2 linked regions of the Diceros bicornis minor genome follow. The protein of the gene in region 2 purifies or fractionates together with the protein of the main gene of each other region. This does not show direct contact. Links are inferred from orthologs where the notes say so. Each region holds a gene or a part of one and is shown on either strand. Other genes may lie near its edges.

Region 1 (7,682 bases), on a different chromosome or scaffold from region 2:
TGTGCCCCAGCTCACAGCACACCTGGGTAATGGGGATCCCTGAAGGGTCTACTGAGTCTCAGTCCATTGCACTCTTTAGCCTGCATGATGTCTGCAAGCTCCCACAGGGGCTCTTCAGAGCCCTGGACGGCCAATATCCTATGGTGCAGTCGCAGGAATCAGGAAGCCTCTGGCTCGAGGTCCCTGTGGGTCCCCTCAGGGACGTCTAGGGACAACCAATGCTCGTCACCAAGGGCTGCCCGTGCACAGAAACACTAAGAGTCTAAGATCACAGGCAGGGACTGGGGGCTTCTCAACACCATGCCAGAGAGATCCATAAAGAAATCTAAAAAGCAGACTCTGAAAACTTGTTTCCTTGTAGTAACCAGAAGCGAAACCTTCAAGTGTGTGTGTAGGAGTGTCCACATGCTTCTCAGGGAGGACGGGTCTGGCTTCCTGCCTGGCTGGACCACAGAGCAGCTGGAGGATCACCTGAATCATACTGGCGAGCTAATCTTCACTCACTAACGTGGACGGCACAAAAGCAGTGACCACAGCTGCTCAGGAAGGCCAAAGCCAGAGCCATTGGGGAGCCCACACAGCAAGTCCCCTCTGCCTACCTGATGCAGACGCTTCTCCAGGAAGCTAAGGAGGACACGAATCACATCCATGTTCACTCCCAGGAATTCCAGGGAGCCTTCGTGTGGCTCCAGGGTGAGGAGGACGTCCAGACACTTGAGGGGCAAGTTCCCCAGGAGGTTCACCGTGTGGCTGAGGACAGACGGGGAGAGGGGCTTGGTGAATCCAATCCCCCAGCACAGGCACAACCCTTGGTACCTCCTGCTGGGGCTGCATGTGACGTGAACCAGTGTCCAGGGGCCTAAGGAGCAGCACAAGGGGCCCGAGCTGAGGAGAGGACTGCTCTCAGGGGGCACTCCTGCTCAGTGGAGTGGGTCCCCGAGGAGGGGGGCACTCTTATGCAAACACCTCACCTATGACCCTCTGTCTGGGTTGAAGCACCACAGACCACCTCTGGAAAACCAAAACCTGCCTCCAGGGACAGGTCACCGAGAACAGGAATGAGGAACCTACACTGCCCTGTAGATACTACACCATCCACTGCCCCTGCCTAAGGTCCTGGGGCACACTCCTGTTCCCAGACTCGTGGCTCTCGTCCTAGCCATGTACTCTAAGTGCCAGAGCTCTCTGGAAACCCACTGATGTCTAGTCCCACCCAGATGGGTAAAGACTCGCTAGGGTGGAGCCTTGTCCACAACCATGGCTGGCAACCACCATCTAGACACGTGAGCACACTTCCCTCCCAACACAACAGGCCCCACCCTCACCCGTGGAACTCCTCTGTACGGTCTCCAGCAGCAGTGATCATCACACAGTGCCGCAAAAGGGTTCCCAGGTGCTGGTAAAGGGCAGCATCTTCCTGACCAAAGAGTAAGAGGTTCCTGTGAGAGAGAGCCCCACTTGTCCCCCTGCTGCCAGCTGAGATTCCACCGTCTGCCCCACTCCAGGACCAAGTGCACCGATTACACATCTCCCCCACTGCACACCCGGCCCCTCCGCCTCTCCTACACAACCTGAAAAGCACTCTCCTGATTAAGAACGTCAACAGATGTCCTTGGGATTGAGTCACACTCTGTGTTCTGACCCCATGCTCACAGCCTCGTGATTGGGAATCTCCTACACTGTCCCCATGTATCACACAGCTCTCCTGCCAGGCTCCAAAAGCCAAATGTGCTCTCCACCTCCCTCAGAAACCTTCCTTGGGGCCCCTACCCAGGCGTCTCCTCGCCTCCTCCAGTCTTCTCTGAGCCTAACACCCTGAAACTTGAAGGCACCCAACAGGGAAGCAGATCCAGGAAACATTCAAGCTGTTAAGCCCCACCCACGGGTTCAGATCAGCTCTCTTCTTACCTGGTCCACCTCTCTCTTTATGGAGTCGAAAGTGATGTTGAAGAGCACTTTGAGAATTTCCATGGCCCGCTCAGTCTCCTGGGGAGGAAGGAGCGCAGGGGGGCTCTCTTCCGGGCTCATTCCCAGGGTCAGCTCCAGCGCATCTGTCAGCAGGTGCACTCCCCGCAGCTCCTGAAACAGCTGCAGGCGCACGTCGGTGCGAAGCGCAGTTAGCAAGAAAAGAAGGCGCAAATCAAAGAACTGGACGTCGTGAGGAAAGCTGCTCTTGCGGTACAGCCCTACGCGCTCTGCGAGTCTCACCACCAGGCGAGCCTCTGCTGCCAGCACCTGTGCCACCGGGCTGCTGAGCACGAGGTTGCACAGGCACTTGAGGGACTCGAGGACAACGTCCATGTCCAGGGGCTCGGGGACCGAGCCCCCGGAGGCGGAGATCCCAGCATAGCAGGCAAATGCCTGCAAGCTCTGGCGGCTGGTAAATGGGTCCAGGCAGCTGCGGTCCCTGGACAGGATGCGGATGCTCTGCAGCCAGGTGACGCGGCGGGACGGTGGCAAGCCCTGCTCCAGGACCGAGGCCAACAGCTCCGCCAGTCTCTGTGGGCGGGGAGTAGAGCGGCTCCACCAGGCTCCCCGACCCGGGGCCCCCGTCTCTGCCCCTTACCCCTCGGTCAGCACCCACCTTCCTGTCCTCCTGCTGGGCGTCATCGAATGTGAAGCTCTGGGAGTTCTGCAGGGAAACCCAGGGGCTCATGGAGCGCAGGTCCGCACGGGCAGATCCCGGCCTCCGAGATGAGGCCCGAGGCTGCAGGCGCCGCTCCGAACAGATGGCGCCCCGCACACCTGCCCCCAGGTGCGCACGTGACTCCAACCAGCGACTCCTCGTAGGCTCGGCGCCCCTTCCTGCCGCTCCCTTCCACCCTCGGGCCCCGCCGCAGTCACCCACCCCTCCGCCGGCCGCGCCCACCCGGCCCACCGCCTCCTTGCGCGCCCCACGACTCCCGCTCACCTCCTGGTTGTACGCGAGCAGAGCCTCCATAACCACGTTCTCTTCCCCCGTTTGCACGGCATCGGCCACCGCCCGGGGCTCCATGGCGTCTCCAGTACTTGGCGCCCGGAAGGCGGGACGTGGCTCCGCAGCCCCGGGCCTGAGTCCGCCAGCCCCGCCCTGGCTCCGCGCGCGGGGGAGGCCGGGACGGGGCAGCGCGCGCCTTAAGGTGGCGCGCTTTAAGGTGGCGAGACTTGGAACAGCCTCCTAGAGCGTGAAGGCTTTGCCGCCCGGGCTTCAAGATCCGACTCGGTGATCGTCCGACCTCAGGTCCCGAGACGCCCCCGAACCGAAGAGTGACCCTCGGGAATTCTCGGGCAGGAATTCCTGGCGGAGACGACCTCAGCCCCACCCCCCGCCCCTCTTGATGAACAGGACGGACAGGATGTCGCGGGTACAGCCACGGTGGGAAGGGCTGCCAGCCCCCGCACCACTTGGTTTGTTAAACGGGCGTTTGGGCGCCTACTACACGCGAGGCGCCGTGATGCGGGCGAACAGGACCCGCGGACCCTGCCTTCGCGGACCTTATGTTCCCAAGGCGAGGACAAACAAGGACGATTTTAGGCAGGCGGTGCCGTGACTGGAAGAGGAGAGGCTGCTGGGCTGCAGAGAGGTCTGAGGTGCCGGACGAGAGGGGAGCCAGGAAGATCTGGGGACGGGCATTCAAGGCACGGGGGAACGGCCAGGTGGGAGAGAAACGGACCTCGTTGGGGCTGAGGAAGGCTTACGGTCAGGGTCAGGAGGAGAGCAGAGCTCCACAGTGCGCGGCGGCTCCTCGCTGCGCAACCCAGACACACGATCGGCCTGGACTCAGGCCTCTTTCTCGAAGAGCAGAGAAGACCAAAGTCGCCCTTCCAGTGGGTTGTCGGGAGAACTCAGTAATACAGCGGATGCCCCCGCAGTGGCGGGCGACTTGCCCTGCAACAGGCGCCGGTCGAGCGTCCACTCGGCCGGGCCCTGGGTCGGCGCCAGCGCACAAGCAGCAGCCCCACCCACTGTCCGGCTCCCCGTCCTCGTCGGGGGCGTCCCGGGCCCCGAGCACCACCTGGTCCGCCAGCAGTCACCGCGCCGCAGCCCGGCGGGCCGGGGGACCTCGGGGCCGGTCCCTCGGCGCGCCCAGCCCCGCCCGTCGCCCGGGAGAGGGCCCGCGAGCTCCTCCCACTTCGGGCCTGACGCCGTCCCGGAGGCGTGGCTGATAGAGGCGTCTGGACACCGGAGCTGGCGTTAAAAACGCTAACCCTAGGCGGTCCTAGTCAGGCGGAGGAACCAACATCAGGCCACTTCCGTCCCCACCCGGGCGCCCTGCGCCCCGCGGCCGGAGCCTCCGCCGGAAGTCGGCGGGCGCGCGGCGGAGGGGGCGGTGACCTCCGCCGGAAGTAGGCGGGGCCAAGGCGGAAGCGGCGACGCCGGAAGCTCGTTCCCGCGGCTGCGCCACGTCCGCCGCGGCAGGGGCCGGGTAGGCGACGGAGCCGGGGCCCGGAGCCGGCACGATGGCGGACTGGGCTCGCGGTGAGCGCGGGAGAGCAGAGCCGGATGGCGTCGGGGCCGGCCGTAATCGACGCCGCTGCCCGCAAGAGCTGCGTCCGCGCGGCCCAGCCCGCTGGGTGGTCTCGGCGGGGAGGCCCTGCGGGCGCTGGCGGCTGCGCTGTGGGCGGGTCGTGGGGTCCCTGCGTCGCGGGGCCCGGCTGCCCGGAGTTCGTACCCCTCTGTCCCTGTCAGATGGTTCTGCTGGCACCCCGGCCGGCCTCACGGTCGCGGAGGCCAGCCCCTAGGAGGGAGGCTGCGTGGTGGGAGGGCAGCCCCTTCGCCCTCTGGGAGCCCGTGTTCTCGTCTGCGATGTGGGATGCTGATGCCTGTCTCGCCGGGCTCTTGTGACCGTTGAGAAGTTAATGAACGTGAGGGGGTTGGTAGAACGCCAACACTCCTTCCTTTGGCGTCTGTATCCATCTGTGGTTCCTAGAGCTGCACCCCCATTAGATGGGTCACGTGGAGGCATCTGGCCCGGGGCAAGTTTGCACTCGGAACTGGGGGGACGCGGTTCTCACCCACCTGATGTGACAGTAATGCCGAACCGCCTGGCCGCTCCCTAGTCATGGGACCGGTCTTAGCAAGCACTGTGCTCGGTGTCATATAAGGCCCTGGGTGGGGTGCAGAGGTGAGCAGGCCCAGGCCCTGCCCTCGGGATCGACCTCAGCGCCCCCGTTTTTGGGTGTTGGGGAGCTGTGCTGAGTTGTCTCCTCCCTGGTTACCTGTCATCTCTTGAGGACCGAGTTCACAGGTCGTCCCTGCAGGGGTCTTCCTGCTGCCCCCCCACCAGTCTTTCCTTGGTCCATACCAGAGTTTACTGTTTTTCTCTGGGAACAGGTCTCTTGTACGCTGATAGTAATGTCTGTGGAGGGATGGTGCAGGTTCTGTCACAGAGTATCAGAAAGTGCCGGTTGGGCTGATCCTTTGAGGCTGTACATGTTGGGGATGCCTGTCCACCCTGGCCTGGATGTGTACACAGGACATGTGGTCACGTGATGGGTGCCCGCACACGCTGTTGTTGACACAGCCTGTCTCACGTGTGTGTGAAGTCCTTACACCGGATCCTGGGTTAGGGCTGGACTTGTTCATCAGACACAGGTGGGCCTAGTCCCGCCAGATTCCGACTCAGGTATATGGGATTGTAGTGAGAGAGTCCTGAGGCCACGAAGGGCTGACATCCAGGGGTCAAGGGCAGTGCTCATGGGTGGATGCACCCCTCAGCCTCTCTTTCTCCTTGCAGCTCAGAGCCCTGGCGCTGTGGAGGAGATTCTAGACCGGGAGAACAAGCGAATGGCCGACAGCCTGGCCTCCAAGGTCACCAGGCTCAAATCGGTCAGTGGTGGTCCTCCTGTTTCACCTCCACCTGGCACCTTGGAGCAGGGATCAGAGGGAGGGTAGAGGCTTGGAAGGGTTTCATGTAGTTCTCATCTTCCTTGTCCCATCCGTGGCAGCACTCTCTTGTGTGAGGCCTAGGTGATACCTGGACCTCCTGATCTCTGCTGGTGGTACTGTGTCTGGCAGAATCGTTGGTTGGGTCTGCTGGTCTCATGGAGGGTCAAGCACCATCCAGTGTCTTCCCTGGCCTGACCCTGCCCCCTCTGTGTCCTGATCAGCTTGCCCTGGACATCGATAGGGATGCAGAGGACCAGAACCGGTACCTGGATGGCATGGTAAGGGTCTGCAGCGTGCGTGAGTGTTTCGGTCAGCTCTGCCCCACACTGCCTGCTATATAGGTCCCCAGTGTCTCCTGCAGCACTCTCCTGTGGGTCTTGGAGGGTCCACCCCTGTGTGATCGTGTTGGGATTCCTCCCTCAGGACTCGGATTTTACAAGCATGACGGGCCTGCTCACGGGGAGTGTGAAGCGCTTTTCCACAATGGCGCGATCTGGGCGAGACAACCGGAAGCTTCTGTGCGGTATGGCCTTGGGACTCATCGTGGTCTTCTTCATCCTCTCCTACCTTCTGTCGAGGGCAAGGACGTGAACCAGTGGGAGCTGGCGTCTGTGGGTGCACAGGGCAACCAGCATCTTCCTCTACCTGGTGTCCTGGGCTCCAGAGGACCTTCCTACAAAATACTCCTTTGGAACGATGATCGTGGCTTAGGAATCTTCTTCCTGTGTGGCTGGGAGCCCATGGCTGCTTCTGGCCCAGTGAGATCATGTTGGCTGTCCCATGTTGCTGGTCCCATGCAGACATGGGACCCTTTCCTTTGGGGAAACCAAGGCCCAGCACCCTCTGCCACTCCAGGTGCTAGAGGTGCCAACAGAGCCAGGTCTGAGCAAAGGAGCTAGGAATCCTGGACGTGGCTACCTGTGGTCAGTCCTTCCCCCAGCCCTAGGGGCTCTGATGTCTCCAGGCACCTCTGCCCCATCCTTGTCTAGGTAAGGCCACGTCTGGTGTCTGAGGTGCCTGGAGCTGATAGAGAAGGGGTGTTTCTGTGAAGCTCCAGGCAGCACTGTCTGTTCCAACCGACAGTCTCAGCCTAGAGATGGTGGTTATTCCTGGCCAGGGGTCCTGAGCATGGGTGGACCAGTGAGGCCTCTGTGCCTGCTCTCTAGTCCCATGGCTGAAGCCAGACCCTTGGGGAAGTGCAGGGGGTTGTGGATGAGGAGTGGGCTGCAGCCTTGGCTGGAGGCACTGGGCCCGGATCCTTCTGGATTTTGTGGTCATGTATTCCAGGAGCAGAAATTCATATTTTGTCAGGATGCGGAATCTCCCCAGCGCCAAATATGTGTTTTTGGAGACTAGATGTCTAGAAACAGGCCCATTTGGTATTTCAGAGTCAGTCAGGGTATGGGAGTGAGGGGGACCTTTTGTGGGCCCAGACAGGAGGCTTTCCTGTAAGGACTTTCTTCATAGGACCTGTAAGTCACTTCTTGAGGATCACCAGGCAGTTTTTCCTCCACCAGGCCCAGCCCTTCCTCCCACAGCAAGTCTCTCCTTGCTGTGAGGGAGGTCTGAGCCACACCCTCCTCCCCAGCGTCTGCAGATGGCCCTCCCTGCCCCCCTCTCCCAGGGCCCTCACTGCCCACTTGGCCAGCCCCGTGCTCACACCAACTGAAGCACAGGCCCAGCTGGATCACTCGCCTCTTCTCTCCCCACAGCAAGATCCCAGCAGCTTTGTGTTCCCATGAAAACACTTGTAAGAAACGAGTTTTTGGCTTTTTGTGCTTCCTTGTCCTTGTTCCCATCTTTCCCAGTCACT
Region 2 (8,340 bases):
AGCGTAACTTGAAGTCAGAATTTTGAAACTTCAAACTAACTGAATAAAATGAGAAAAATCACGAAATCTCAGCATCTACTCTCATATGCCTGTCCCACCCCCACTGCAGTGCAAGGCTTTGTGGAGAATAGGCAAATGGAGAGAAAGACAAGGAAGATGGAAGAGGGATGCCAGAGTAAGGGCCTAAAGTTAGTCAAACCACTGCCAGAAAGACCACCTTAAGTCTGAATGGTCTGAACACATGTCCAAGCCAATCAGAGCACAAACTCCAGGGAAGGGGCTTCAAAGTGAGCACAATGTAAAGGGGCAGGTGATTTAAAGGAGCAGTCTTTGAAACAGAGCTGCTGGTGAAGGAAAAAAGTGAAAAAGAAAGGAGAAGCACCCTTTAATAACCAGGTGTTGAAAGAGAAAAGAGGCAAAAGAAAGAAATTAAAGAGTCCCGCAAGATAGATGAGTACTGCACAATTGGAGCACTTACGACGCTTCCCTATCACCAAAACCAACCAATAAAAACCCCACTAAGTACTTTGCTATATTGACAGAAGAGATCTCAGCCATGAAGCATGAAATTATAAACAGATATGAATATTGATAACTTTGTCACTATTTGTAGATATGATGGTGTATGTATTTTGTATGAAAATACAAAATAATCTACAAAGAAATTAGAAATAATAAGATAACTTAGTTCCACTTCCAGCTATTGCTGTATTGGCTTGAAACAGAAAGACCTTCCCATCAAGAACAATTAGAAAAGCTGGATTTAAAAAAAAAAAAAAAAGGAAAAACCTGTTTGAAGGATTGAAGAGCTACTAAGGTAACAAGGACTTATGGGGTCAAGATCCTAGAGCAAAGGCAGTTCAGGGGTGAACATCACAGTAGTTTTCACCTTGAGACATTTGTTGATTCATAAGTGGTGACTAAGAGGTAAAGATGCCTAGGAGCAGAGAGTCCAGGCAAGAGGCAGAGAACCCAAGCAAGAGCCAGAGAACCCAAGCAGAGTTCTAGGCAGTATTACTGGGTGGGGAAAATATGAGTTCAGCACCTATCAAGGAAGGGGGCATGGTAAACAGGCTTTCAGTTAGGAAACTTGATGGCTACACATTAGAAGTAAAAGCTAATCAGAAATAGTCCAGTTTTTACAAACATAGACTCCCACTTGGTATTAGTTCCACCCCACACTTGATTACGCGGATCTGCCCCATCCTCAACTGCCTGCAAGAAGCAGCAGTGAACTGTCTCTTGAGGAAGAGGAGCCTCAAATGATGACTACAAATTTTAATCTATAACATACAGCATCCAATCAAAAGTTACTCATTATCAAAAGACGTATCAGATGATGAAAGATCAAGAAAAAAATTAGAAAAGTTCCCATGGGAGGTACGGATTTTTCAGTTATCAACCAGAAATATTAAAATAATGGTGATGAATAAATTCAAGGAAGTAGAAGACAAGATGAAGAACTTTAGCAGAGAATTAAAATCTTAAAAAATTAAGTGGACGCTTTTGGTTCTGGACAAAATGGAGATGTATTTCTCTTCTCTTCCTCCCACTAAGCACAGCAAAAAACTTATATACTATATATGAAACAAATAAGAAGACTCAGAAAGGTGGAGAGAAGAAGGCAGACCAGTTAGGAACCTCAGGATCCAAGGAACGACGTGGTAGTAAGTTCCCTGAGTTTTGTTTTTGCCTCATATATCCCATAATGGGTTCTGGAGAAGCTGGCAACCCCAAAGTGCCAAAGGATGCAGACCAAAAAAGCCCAAAGAAAAGCCTTCTCTAGCCAAAGGACCAGGAAAGGGACAGCCTACCAAGACAGAATACTTTGAGACAATAATTGCACTACTCCAGCCAAATGCTACAGAAAAAACTGAGGCCCATCTTTACCCACTGCCAGCAAAGCTGAGGAGAGCCTAGACTCTACAGTTACCCGGCCATAATGAAGCAGGGCTCCCCACTGCCTGGGCAATGTCAAAGAAAGCCAAGTGGGGAACCAGGATTTCCACCACCACACAGTGGTAATGAGGCCCCGGCCATGGTGTCAGTGGAGGCCATGTGGGCAGCAGTAATAAGGCACCCAGAACCCCAGGTATCAACACAGCCCAAGGGAGAGCCTGAATTTCCACTCCTACCTGGTAGTGGTAAGGCAGTTCCCCACCTCCCCCACCAGCACAGTGTCAGAGGAGTTCTGCTTAAACAGAAGATTTAAATGAGATGCAGAGTCTTATTATAATATTTAAAATATCCAGGATATAATGAAAAATCAATCATTATACCAAGGACCCAGGAAATTTCAAGTTGAACGAAAAAAGACAATCAACAGATGCCAACATCAAGTTGACACAGATGTTGGAATTATCTGACAAAAATATAAAAATATTTTAATAAGCAACTACAAATAAACTGAGAACAAACAATATAAAGAGGCTCAGCAAAGAAACAGAAAGTCTCAGCAAAGAAATAGAAGACATAATGAGGAAACAAATGGAAATTTTATATCTGAAAAATACAATGATTCAAATAAAAAACTCAGTGAATGGGCTCAACAGCAGAATAGAGGACAGACATGCTGTCAGTGAACTTGAAGACAGAAGAGTAGAAATTACCCAATCAGAAAAACAAAAAATAGACTGAAAAAAATTAGTAGAGCCTCAGGGATATGCAGGACTATAACAAAAGATCTAGCATTTACGTCATCAGAGTTTCAGAAGGAGAGGAGAAAGGGTATGGGGCAGAAAAAGTATTAGAAGAAATAACGCCTGAAAATTTTCCAAATTTGGCAAAAGACATAAACCTAAAATTCAAGAAGCTGAGCAAACCCCAAACAGGAAAAAAACCAAAGAAATCTACACCAAGACACATCATAATCAAACTTCTAAAAACTAAAGAAAAGATTTTGAAAGCAGTGAGAGAGAAAAGATACCTTGGCTATAGGGGAAAAACAATTCAAATAATGGCCAATTTCTCATCACAAACTGTGGAGGCCCCAAGGAATTGGCACATGTTTCAAGTGCTGAAAATAAGAAATCATCAGCCCCAGATTCTATATCTAGCAACAATATCTTTCAGGAATGAAGAGGAAAGCAAGACATTCTCAAATGAGGAAAAATTAATAGCATTTGTCTCCAACTGATCTCTTTAAAAAATGTCTCAAGGAAGTTCTTGAAACAGAAAGAAAATAATAACAAAGGAATCTTGGAACACCAGGAAGGAAGAAAGAAAAGTAGAAAGAGTTAAATATGGGTAAATACAGTAGGCTTTCCTTCTCCTTTTGAATTCTGTAAATTATGTCTGACAGTTGAAGCAAAAATTATAACATCTGATGTGGTTCTCAATGAATGTAGAGGAAATACTAAAGGCAATTATAATGGGATTGAGCAAAAGGACTTTACAGGAGGTAAGGTTTCTACACTTCACTAGAACTGGTAAAACGTGGACACAAGCAGACTGTGATCATTTATGTATCTATAAAGCGTGGGTTTGGACAGCAGATGTTTTGTGTGCGAGGAAGATCGGCCCTGAGCTAACATCTATTGCCAGTCTTCCTCTTTTTCCTTGAGGAAGATTGTCCCTGAGCCAACACTCGTGCCAATCTTCCTCCATTTTGTGTATGGGACACCACCACAGCATGCCTTGATGAGCGGTGCGTAGGTCCATACCTGGGATCTGGGCTGCAAACCCAGAGCCACAGAAGCGGAGCATGCCAAACTTAACCACTACACCACCAGGCCAGCCCCAGGACAGCAGTTTTAACGGGCTGAGGGGTCAAGATGAGAGCACGTGGAAGCAGTTAGCACATACTTTCTAGATTTGGTGACTGGAAAGGAAAGAAGGCTGGGACTATAACTTCTGTAGACGGAGGAAAAGGCAACCAGTGGAAAAGAAGAGCACATATACCAGAGATAGGGGGATAATGGAGCACAGGTAGAGGTAGGATCAAGGGGTTGGTCTCGGGAAGAAAGGAGCCTCTGGCTCTGACTTACAATGAACTATCAGAAACAGAAATTAAGAAAACAATCCCATTTATAATTGCATCAAAGATTAAAATACATAGGAATACATTTAACCAAGAAGGTGAAAGACCTTTACACTGAAAACTATAAAACATTGATGAAAGAAACTGAAGACGACACAAATAAATAAAAAGATATTCTGTGCTCATGGATCAGAAGAATTAATATTGTTAAAATGTCCATACTACCCAAAGCAAGGTACAGATTCAATGTAATCCCTATCAAAATTCCAATGGCATTTTCCACAGAAATAGAACAATCCTAAAATTTGTATGGAACCACAAAAGATCCTGAATAGCCAAAGCCATCTTGAGAAGAAAGAACAAAGCTGGAGGCATCACTCTCCCTGATTTCAAACTACGTTACAAAGCTATAATAAACAAAACAGTAGGGTCTTGGCATAAAAACAGACGTATAGATCAACAGAGCAGAATAGAGAGCCCAGAAATAAACCCATGCATATATGGTAAATTAATCTATGACAAAGGAGTCAAGAATATACAACGCGGAAAGGACAGTCTCGTCAATAAATGGTGTTGGGAAAACTGGACAGCCACTTGCAAAACAATGAAACTAGACTACTATCTTACACCATACACAAAAATTAATTCAAAATGGATTAAAGACTTGAATGTAAGACTTGAAACCACAAAACTCCTGGAAGAAAACATAGGCAGTAAGCTCCTTAGCATCGGTCTTGGCGACGATTTTTTGGATCTGACTCCAAAAGTAAAGGCAACAAAAGCAAATATAAACAAGTGGAACTACATCAAACTAAAAATCTTCCGTACAGCAAAGGAAACCATCAACACAATGAAAAGGCAACCTATGGAATGGGAGAGAATATTTGCAAATCATATACCTGATAAGAGGTTAATATCCAAAACATATAAAGAACTCATACAATTCAATAGCAAAAAAAAACCCCAAAAGAGTCTGACTCTGAGAAGGGAAATATACATTTGAGAGAAGGTGAGGGTAACAGGGAGTTGGGTCTGAGGATAATTTTCTTCTCAGCCAAGCAGGCCCTTGCTGAGAGCAGATAAGCCGAGCTGAGGGCGATGATGCAGGTTTGGGGCGCGGAGACCGGATATGAACACGAGGATGACAGACGTTCAGGGAGTGTCAGGCGCTAAAGCTAAACTTGTCAGCCTCGCTCCTCAAAAGCTGTACAATGATGAACTGCCCGCCAGGTGGCGGTGTCTGCGGAAGCTCACGTATCCCATCGGCCCTGGCGCCAGGGCGGAAGAAGGTTCAGAGGTGATTCTGTGGCTCGCTGCGCCTCGGCTCTCCTAGCCAGACTGACGTTGGACAACAAAGATGGCGGCAGGAACCAGCAATTACTGGGAAGGTGAGGGGGAAGCCTCCGGGTGGATCCAGCCGAGGGGCAGAGGGGCTGAGTGCGGACGGGGCTTGGGGCAGGCAGCGGAGGAAAGAGCCTGGTCTCCGGAGCGGCCGGGCTGAGGGGCGGGGCTCGTCTAGTGGGAGCCCGGGGCCTGGGGGCGGCGGAGACCGGACGGTCCGGGCCAGGGGCTGACCTGCCAGGCAGCGGGACCTGGGGCAGGGTTGGCCAGAGAGGGCTGAGCGGGGACGGAGGGAAGAGGGGCCTGAGTCGGCGGAGGAGGACTGGGTTGAGGGGGTAGCGGAACTTGGACGAAGGGGCTTGGGCTACGAGCTCGGAGAGGAAACGAGTGTTGAGAGAGAAGATCCGAGCCCAGGAGACTGGGGGAGTCAGCGCGTTCGAGTTGAGGTCGCTGTTGGACAGTTGGGTAGGAAAAGCGAAAGGAGGAACTGGTCAGTCCGGTCCACAGAGGGAAATTGTGTAAGTGGAATGTCTCTTACTGGGTCCCCTTGGCAGCTTCAGGCTGGGACTTCGAGGACTGGGTGTCGAGTCGGCTTTTGAAGGCGGAGGAAATAACTTTGCCTTCTGCTCTAGAGATGGGTTTTGTTAAAAAGAGAAAGTTGGGAGAACCACTGTGAATTGTCATTATTGCATTTGCTATATACCTCTTCTACCAAAAAACCGTCTTGTGATTTGACAAGTACGTTTGTTTAATTCCTGAAAATATGGTCCGATAAAGTGGACTCACCTAAAACTCATTCCTGGACCGTGATGATGAACAAAAATCAGAGGAGGCTCACCTTTTTCTTTCAGTTGTCTCTTTGCTTTACTGCAGCATAGAAACTATTCTCAGAATCTCTTACCCCTTTTAACCTATTTCCTATTGCTACCCACTGAAACCTCTGGAAACCCACCACAAATAACAGTATTGTTACTATCAGATACTTGGTCTAAGAAACTTGATTCTAAGTTCATCCATACTTACCTGTTATACTTTTCAAAGTGCTTTTGCTTGATGTTTTCTGTTAGAAAATCAGTTACTAATTACAGAAGAGCATGCTTATAGTTTAAAACACGTATTAAAATGCCAATTTGAAATGTGTGTACTAGCTAGAAAATATTTTTAAATTATGTAGAAGTGGCTGTTGGTATCTTTAATACAAGTCAGTAGACTATGGTTTTTTGACGCACCGTGCTATAATAATTATAGAGCTTATTATTGACAACCTACTCTGTGCTAGGGGCTTTAAACACATGATTACTAATGCATAGAAAAATCTCGAAAGTAGGGGTTTAAAAAACAAAAAGCTGAGGTGCATAAAGTAGATTGTCAATAAATCACAGAGCCAGTTCTTAGAATCTCAGATTTTTAGGCTGAGCTGAGATTCTAACTGAGATTTGGTCTCTGGGCAAATGTTCTCCACTGTATTACTCTGCTTTTTACTTCTGGCTGATAAGTATATTGAAATAATGTTTTGTATTCCTTATTCCGGAAAGATGAGATCCTTACATTATTCCTTCCTACGTTTCAGCCCTTTTATTTGGACCTTGCTTCACCATGAATGAGAGTACTCACATCTAGATGTGGGTTTCTGAACTTTGGCTTCTCTCACTCAACCACTTACATGCCAGACTACTATACCAGTTTCTTTGCTTGTTTGTTTTAAAACTTATGCTCTTATTTCTGTCATACTTAGGTCTAACCCTGTTAGTGGCTCGTTGTTTATTGTTAGTTTCAGCCTCTCCAACTTTCTTTCAGTAAACTTAAGGAATTTTTTTTATCTTTGTCTATGATTATTTTTTCTTTATGCTCAATCGCTAAGTCATTCTACTATTAAGAATTTCATAAGGCTAATAAAGCTTTGGGACATAAAGAGATAGGAAAATCTCTGTCAAAAACAGTCGTGGTTTCTTGTCGTAAAGATAGCTGGTAAACTAATATAATGCTGGTCAGAAACCAGTTCCTTTGTGATTTGTATTCTCTTCTGTTTTCCTCCAAATTATGAAATTTTAGTTACTGCTATAGAAATAATTTCGTGGATGTTAGGACATTTGTTGTCTAGCTGTTTTTGAGATAAAGCTGAAATTTTGTGTCTCCCACTGTCCCTCCCCTTCTTGTCCCATCTGAAGTTTAAATAAGTGACAATTTGCTTTCCTGGGTAAATACTTGGTTTTGTCCTTATAACACTTCTTTATGGGAGGATCTAGATCAATATGTGATCATTTGCATTGTTTGTTTTCTTCCGGTTAGTTTTATGATTTTCATGTCTACTGATGGACTTGTTATGTCTAATTATTTGCTTTTATAATTTTTTAAAGATCTGAGGAAACAGGCTCGACAGCTGGAAAATGAACTTGACCTGAAACTAGTTTCCTTCAGTAAACTATGTACCAGTTATAGTCACAGCAGTGCCCGAGATGGAAGACGCGACAGGTATAGGTAGTACCAGATTCTGTCTCTTATGTCTTAGAGTAAATAATGTTTTTCTGTGTGAGTGAGGAACATCAGCCCTGAGCTAACATCCATGCCAATCCTCCTCTTTTTTACTGAGGAAGACTGGCCCTGAGCTAACATCAGTGCCCATCTTCCTCCACTTTATGTGGGACGCCGCCACAGCATGGCCTGACAAGCAGTGCATCGGTGCGCACCCGGAATCCAAACCCGGGCCGCCAGCAGCAGAGCGCGAGCACTTAACCACTAAGCCACGGAGCAGGCCCCTAAATAATGTTTTTAAAGCATTAAAAACTAAACCAAAATATATAATTCTGTACCTTGGTCATTTTGGTGAATTTTTGGTGTTTTATTTTGTTATTGATTGTTTTATTTTTTATTAATTTATATAAATTCTTCTTAATTCTTGAGACTAGCATTTATTTGGGATCCTTTGGCAAAGACTGTGACAGTGTTAGGAGGAAAATGCCAATGCTTAAGAATGAGTTTGTGTCAGAGATAAGAGTTTCTAGTTCAGCGTTTGTAAGGAA

What was found.
Region 1: the proteins of GOSR1 (region 2) and BET1L purify together in Homo sapiens (affinity purification with western blotting; 3 studies listed by BioGRID and IntAct, with this or other methods). This does not show direct contact. The link is inferred for Diceros bicornis minor from reciprocal best matches to the Homo sapiens genes GOSR1 and BET1L.

What each region holds. Positions count from the first base shown.
Region 1 is NC_080770.1:17,903-25,584, reverse strand, and holds the start of BET1L (BET1-like protein), read left to right. Parts: upstream 1-4,478; 5' UTR 4,479-5,677; coding exon 5,678-5,809; intron 5,810-6,090; coding exon 6,091-6,147; intron 6,148-6,292; coding exon 6,293-6,460; 3' UTR 6,461-7,682. Other genes in the region: RIC8A (synembryn-A), read right to left, coding at 600-750, 1,326-1,417, 1,909-2,499, 2,585-2,632, 2,912-2,995. UniProt on the Homo sapiens protein: Vesicle SNARE required for targeting and fusion of retrograde transport vesicles with the Golgi complex. Required for the integrity of the Golgi complex.
Region 2 is NC_080757.1:17,342,058-17,350,397, reverse strand, and holds the start of GOSR1 (Golgi SNAP receptor complex member 1), read left to right. Parts: upstream 1-5,264; 5' UTR 5,265-5,336; coding exon 5,337-5,367; intron 5,368-7,677; coding exon 7,678-7,798; intron 7,799-8,340. UniProt on the Homo sapiens protein: Involved in transport from the ER to the Golgi apparatus as well as in intra-Golgi transport. It belongs to a super-family of proteins called t-SNAREs or soluble NSF (N-ethylmaleimide-sensitive factor) attachment protein receptor.